Macaca fascicularis: one gene and its partner. The protein of the gene in region 1 interacts with the protein of each later gene in a pairwise test. Links are inferred from orthologs where the notes say so. Each region holds a gene or a part of one and is shown on either strand. Other genes may lie near its edges.

Region 1 (4,301 bases):
GTGAGTCAGGATATTTATCCATCTTCCCCTCTTGGGTTATTTGTCTTCGTGTTCCAGGATGGGCACTTGATCCAATCAGCTACTCAGTTCTGGAAATTTCATTGGGAATCTCAGAAAAGAGACATGCTTCTTCTAGGAGAGTTGCTAAGCTATTAGGGTTCAAGCTTGGAGCTACAAAAAGCCATTTTGCCACTGAGAGAGGAGAGCCTGCCTGAGGGTGAAGCCAAATGCACCGGGAAGGCAGAACCAGAGATGGTGAGCCGCAGAACCAGAGATGGTGAGCCACAGGTTCCTGATCTCTTCTGGCCCCTGTGTTCACCTGTCTGGAATCTGTCTGCTCTGGACTTTTCGATTACTTGGGCCATAGCTTCCTTTATTGTTTAGGCCAGCTGGAGCTGGGTCAATGAGAGACTGGATGGGTGGAGGATCTCACTGTGCTCATGCTTTCCACTACCCTCCATACTTTAATTGTTCTCGATTTCTCTAACTGGCCTTGATGTCTCTTCTGATCTCCAGACCACATGCCCACAGATGTCCCAAAAGCACGTCTGAAATTGACCTCATTATTATTGTTGTTACTATTTTTGAGACAGAGTCTCGCTCTTTTGCCCAGGCTGGCAATGGCAGTCTTGGCTCACTGCAACTTCCGCCTTCCGGGTTCAAGCGATTCTCCTGCCTCAGCCTGCTCCCAAGTAGCTGGGATTACAGGCGCCTGCCACCACGCCCAGCTAATTTTTTTTTGTATTTTTAGTACAGACGGAGGTTTCACCATGTTGGTCAGGCTGGTCTCAAACTCCTGACCTCAAGTGATCACCGCGCCCGGCCCTGACCTCATTAATTCTTTTTTTTTTTTTTTTTTGATAGGGAGTCTAGCTCTGTTGCCGGGCTGGAGTGCCCTGGCGCCATTTCGGCTCACCGCAATCTCTGCCTCCCGGGTTCAAGCTATTCTCCTGCCTCGGCCTCCCGAGGGGCTGGGACTACAGGCGCGCGCCACCACGCCCGGCTAACTTTTGTATTTTTAGTAGAGACAGGGTTTCACTATGTTGGCCAGGCTGGTCTCGAACTCCTGACCTCGTGATCCACTCGCCTCGACCTCCCAAAGTGCAGGGATTACAGGCGTGAGCCACCGCGCTCTGATCTCATTATTTCTACCTCCCATCTTCATTTCCAGTTTCAGAGATACAAACTCCCGGACCGCCTGCCTCTCCTCAGATAAACCAAGGTCGTTAAGTTCAGGCTCCGCCTCCCCACAGGGCCGCCCCAAGGTCAGCCGCTTCTTCCCCCGCTCAGCTCCTTGGGGGCGTTGTCCGCGTGCCCCTCCGCAGCGGGGGCCGGCGCTCTAGGCTGCAGCGGGCAGTTCACACAGCCTCATCATCTCGCTGGTTTCCGGTGCTCGGCGGCTACTCTAGCCCTCAGCCGGGCCCTGGGACTCTATCCCCTAAGGCGGCTTCTCTATGTTCTACATCGTCCCTTTGTCCCGAATTTCCTCCGGGAGGACGCTCTGGTGGGATCCAAGCCCTTCCCCCACCGCGTCTGTGGCCGCTTTTAGGTGCAACTGGAGAAGGCACTGAAGCCCTACGAGATTCACACCGTCTTCGGTCTCCCGGGGTCGGCGCCGAGCGGGAGAATGGCGGAAGTAAGTATGGAGGTGCCCTTCCCTCCCGCCGCTCTTCTCGATGGTCGCTTCCGTCAGCGACGGGAAAGGGGGTCCTGGCGCCTGCGCGGAACCGGGCTGGGCGCTCGTCGCGTAGTGGGTGGGGGCGCAGGGAGCGGGAGTCGCCGCTGCCGCCGGAGCTAACCGCGGGGACCGAGATGCAGGTGGGACCGGAACCGGAACCCCCCTCTTCAAGTGCCTCTTCCCTCTCCGCGACCCGGCCCTGGCGCCCGAGAGGATCCCTGGGTGGGGGTGGGCGTGGAGGGCCGGGGGCTGGAGGGGCACTCGGCCCCGGAGAGTGCAGCAGACAGGGCTGGTCCCGAGGCGGATGCGGCCCCGGAGAATGGGCGGCTGGGGGGTGTCCAGGGAGTAGGGTCGGGTCGGAGTGGATGGACCACCGGGCCCGGAGGGTCCGAGCCAAGAGCGGAGCCTGCACCCTCCATCACCCGCCCTTCGGGAAATATCAGAACTGAGCCAGGAAGCAGGTGCACCGGGAAACTGTGTCTGAGTCCTGCTTGGCAGAAGAGAAACTGAGTCACCAGCTTAGGAGCCGCAGGGTCAGCGGGCCTGAAGGGGGCTGGGTCTGTCTGCGGTGCAGAGGGTTGGGTGGGCCTGTGTGAGCGGAGGTGGCCGCTGGCTGGAGATTGGTCTGCACCTCTTGGCTGGGTTCCCCCCTGCTCCATGACTCCTGCATCTCCTGGCTCTTTCTCGTTGGTTTGGAGTTGTCCCTGCGGTTGGAGCCATCTGAGCTTGTAGGGTCGAGGCCCAGGAGGAACGGGAGGGTTCGCCGACTTACAGCCTGGCTGTAGGTTTGAACAGGAGTCTGAGGTCGCTGAGGGTTTGAGAAGACTTTCCTGAGCTGCCCTGGCCCCAGTCCTGGGGCTGTCACCTTCCAGTATTGCGTGGGGGGAGGAGCGCTAACAAAAGAGCCAAGGGTTGTAAATTCCACACCCAGCTCTGCCACTTTATAGTTGTAAGACCTTGAGAGGGCTCTTGCTATCTCTAATTTCTCTTTTAGAAAACTGGAACTATAATGTTTTTCTCCCACATGAAGATAGTAACAATGGCAGTCGTTTAGCGGATGCTTACTTTGCATTCAGCGCTGACATATCCCATTCCATGTAATTCTCTCAACATTTCGAGGGGGGAGGGATCATGAGCTCTGTTTAACAGATACAAAAACGGAGGCTCAGAGAGGACGTGGGATTTGTTCAAGATAACATCGCTTATAAGGGGGCTGGACTGGGCACTCATAAGGTGGTTTCAGCCCTGGTCTGACTCTAGTCCATGGCCTTAACCAGAAGGCTAACCTGCCTTTAGGGCATACTCCCCAGTGGGAGAAGAGGAAGGTGAAAAATCCTAGGGCCCCAGCTCTCCCTGTGATGTTTTGTTTATGTGAGGCCAGCAAAGACTTGACCTGACCCAACCTAGTTGCTCCTCTGGGGTCCTTGCGGCCTCTGGCCCCATACTGAAGGGATACCAAAGAAGTGGGCTGCAGCTATTTCAGATCTCCTTCACGCAGTGCGTGTGTGCTGGATTCTGGGGTCAGCTTTCAAGACAATTACTGTTTTGGTCCGTCATGCATCCATCCTTCTTAGTGAATCGGCCCCCTTCGAAGAGCTGGACCCTAAGATGTGTGAGGCAGGCTCTCTAAGGTCTAGAGTCCCAGCTCCCCTCTAGCCTCCTGCGAGCTAGGGCGGTGAGGTGCTATGGCTGAGGTTGGCCCAGCTGGTCCCTGGGGACAGGGACTGTGGAGAGGGGAAAACAGTAGACTTGGAGTTCTGAAACTTTTCTGAGCTTCGGTTTCCTCATCTGTTCGAGGGGTCTTTGAAACCTCTCACAGGGAAAGGTAAGATAACCAAGAGGGAGCCTCTAAAATGGCTCATGGGAAGTGTGACATGAATATTGGAGGATCCGACGTAGAGAAGAGGGGTGATCTGGAAAAGTTCTCTTTTTTAGGGGGAAGGTGCTCCAAAGCCCTCTACCTCTGGATCCAAAGCTAAGGAAATTGGGGACAAACGCGGCAGGCTGGGGCAGGCTGCTGGGGAACCAGTTGGCTGGGGCCTGCGGGGTGCTAGGATCTGGGAGAGGGAAGGGAGGTGTTGGGCTCCCTTCCCCATGGCTCTCTGTGGAGTCTGCAGTAGGGATGAGCATCTCTGGCTGGGGGTGGGATGCAGCCCCCAGTGCGCCCTCAGCAGTGACCCTCGTGTGTGCCTCTCTCTTCCTTCCGCAGCTGCTGCCGCCCACCCCTCGTCTTCTGGCTGCCTCCCTCTTTGTGCCCCGCAGGCTCCCCCTCTCCACCTCCTGGGGCCCATCATGAATGGTGCCCCTTCCCCAGAGGACGGGGCCTCCCCCTCGTCTCCCCCACTGCCCCCACCCCCGCCCCCTAGTTGGCGGGAGTTCTGTGAGTCCCACGCCCGGGCTGCGGCTCTGGACTTTGCCCGCCGTTTTCGCCTCTACCTGGCCTCCCACCCCCAATATGCGGGGCCCGGGGCTGAGGCTGCCTTCTCCCGCCGTTTTGCTGAGCTCTTCCTGCAGCACTTTGAAGCCGAGGTGGCCCGGGCCTCTGGCTCCCTGTCGCCACCCATCCTGGCTCCCCTGAGCCCTGGTGCAGAGATCTCGCCACATGACCTGTCCCTTGAGAGCT
Region 2 (2,707 bases), on another chromosome or scaffold:
CGGACAGAACAACTCTGATATGTTTATCTATTTGTGCTAATTTTAATAACTTCAAGAAACGTGCCTGTTTCACAGATAAGGCTTAGAGAGGTTCGGTGACTTGCCCAAGGGTACACAGGTAGTGAATGGCCCAGGGGTGATGTGACCCCAGGCAGAGCCCCTACTCTCAACCCCTGATGTGATGGTCACATGTTCCCTTGGTCTAGTCCCTTGGTCTACTCCCTTGGTCATCTTCTGATGAGATCGCCCCTGGGAGGATGGGGCAGTGTTTGCAAGGCAGGGAGAAGACCAGGGTTTGGAATCAGCTGCCACTTATGAGCTGAGCCTTCTTTGCCGAGTAGCTTTCCCCTCACTTTCCTCACCAGTAAGAGGGACAGTGGAGGGCTGTGGTTCTGGATGAGCAAGCGCTGTGTGGTTGTCCAGCTGATGGTCATGAGCTGGTCCCCAAACATCCCCTTGGGAGTGATGGGTCATTCATACAGTCAGGTGGCAGGACTCAGCTAGGAGAGAACCCTGAGTCTTGGGCTTATCGTGTGGACCAGGAGGGAGCCCATGCAGGGTGTGGAGCAGGAGGCGAGGCCAGACCCAAGGTTGAGTGTGGAGGAGGATCGGCAGAGAGGAGCCCGAGAAGGCCAGGGAGGAGCCTATCTCTTTGCTCCCAGACATGGCGTAGGCTCAGTGCTGGTCTTGAGGACACAGGCTAGGGAGATACCACCATCTGGGGCCCAGGCTGTGGGAGATGAGGCTCTAACTGCTGGATGGAACACTGGGGGAATCAATGGAGGGAATCATTAATGCTCAGAGATGAGTCTGGAAGACTTCCCCTAGGAGGGACCATCTGTTCCTTCTCCCCTCCAGGCCTTTGTACTTCCAGTTCCCTCTGCCTGGAGCACTGGGCCTCCCTCCCTCCACAGAAAGATGGAGACAGACACACAGACTCTACCCCTCCCTGCCTCAGCCCCCTTCGAATGGCTTCAGGAGCTGAGTTTCAGTTTAGGTGTCCCTTCCTCTAGGAAGCCTTCCCTGGCTTTTTCCATTCCCACCCGTGCCTGCCAGGTGCCCCTCACACTGCACTGCCATGACCTGCTTATCTGCATCATACTCTGCGCTGTAGCCCCGGTGCTTGGCACGTTGGAAATGTTTAACAAATGCCTCAACTAAACGAATGAGGAGAAGATTGGCTAGTAGGAAAGGGCATTCTTGGCAAAGTGATCGATTCAGGCAAAGGTTCAGGAGAAGGAACATTGGGGAATACAGATGAGTGACTAGGACTGACCCAAGTGTTCACTGTGGGGAGAAGGCAGGCATCCTGGACACCTTCAAAAGTAAGGAAGACCCTGTAGGAATGGCTGGTCACTGAGGGCAAAGGGGAGAGAGACAGGACAATCAAGGACTCCCTGGTTTCAGGGTCTGCCTGGGTGGGGAGGGTCCCTTCCCTGAGGCAGGGTCAGGGTCAGGCTCAGGGAAAGACACTGAGCTGCAATTGGCAAGGGCTGAGTCTGACGTGCCTATGGCAAGGGATGTAGGGGCCAGTGGGCATCTGGAATTCAAGGAGCTGCCAGAGAGGAAGGCATGGATGTGGGAACTGTGAGCTGTCTCTGGTGGAAGCCCTGGAGGTGGGCACGCCTGTTCTGCTCCTCCGTCCCGCCCCTCTGGACAGCTGCCTCTACTGTTCTCTCAATCCTCCACTACTAGGCCCCCAGTCTCCTCTCCCATCACACCTGGCTGCTGGGGATCGCCTTCCTCAGGCTCCTGGGGATTCTGTCCTCCCAGCCTATCCCCACTCCTTTTCTTGTTCACAGATCCCATGGGCCTGATGCCAAGCTGCTGGCTGGTGGGGAGGATGTGGCTCCAGGCCCCCTGGGTCTGGGGCAGCTGCTGGCCGTGGCTAGCCAGGTCGCTGCGGGGATGGTGTACCTGGCAGGTCTTCATTTTGTGCACCGGGACCTGGCCACACGAAACTGTCTGGTGGGCCAAGGACTGGTGGTCAAGATTGGTGATTTTGGCATGAGCAGGGATATCTACAGCACCGACTATTACCGTGTAAGGGTCCTTTGTCCCCAACGCCTTCCCCTGACTCCAAACTGTAGACTCCCTGGATCCCAAGACCACTGAGAGCCTGCCCTTGCTAGGAAGCCTGCAAGGGTCTGAGATTCACTGGCTCTAGTTTTCAACCTACCTCCTCAGCCCCCACTGGTGGGGATTCTGTCTCCTTTGCTGTCCTGGTCGGAAACAGCACCCTTCAGTTTTTGCCTGTTAGCACTGAGAGGCACATCTGTTTGTTTATTTATTTAATTTATTTTTTTTTGAGACGGAGTCTCACTCTGTCGCCAGGCTGGAGTGCAGTGGCACAATCTCGGCTCACTGCAACCTCCGACTCCCTGGTTCAAGCGATGCTCCTGCCTCAGCCTCCCGAGTAGCTGGGATTACAGGTGCCGCCATCACGCCCAACTAATTTTTGTATTTTTAGTAGAGACGGGGTTTCACCATGTTGGCCAGGATGATCTCAATCTCTTGACCTCGGTCTCCCAAAGTGCTGGGATTACAGGCGTGAGCCTCCGCGCCTGGCATATTTATTTTTAATGATGGGGCAGGGGTGAGCTGTGCCTTGACGGGCTGTCCCAGGCGCCCCTGGAGTTGACGCAGCGCCCGCCCACCACAGGTGGGAGGCCGCACCATGCTGCCCATCCGCTGGATGCCACCCGAG

What was found.
Region 2: the proteins of SH2B1 (region 1) and NTRK1 interact in a two-hybrid assay, tested with the Homo sapiens proteins (2 studies listed by BioGRID). The link is inferred for Macaca fascicularis from reciprocal best matches to the Homo sapiens genes SH2B1 and NTRK1.

What each region holds. Positions count from the first base shown.
Region 1 is NC_088394.1:27,607,190-27,611,490, reverse strand, and holds the start of SH2B1 (SH2B adapter protein 1), read left to right. Parts: upstream 1-1,414; 5' UTR 1,415-1,636; intron 1,637-1,729; exon of another isoform or gene 1,730-3,503; intron 3,504-3,883; exon of another isoform or gene 3,884-3,887; 5' UTR 3,888-3,970; coding exon 3,971-4,301. UniProt on the Homo sapiens protein: Adapter protein for several members of the tyrosine kinase receptor family.
Region 2 is NC_088375.1:104,195,932-104,198,638, reverse strand, and holds part of NTRK1 (high affinity nerve growth factor receptor), read left to right. Parts: intron 1-1,802; coding exon 1,803-2,043; intron 2,044-2,662; coding exon 2,663-2,707. UniProt on the Homo sapiens protein: Receptor tyrosine kinase involved in the development and the maturation of the central and peripheral nervous systems through regulation of proliferation, differentiation and survival of sympathetic and nervous neurons.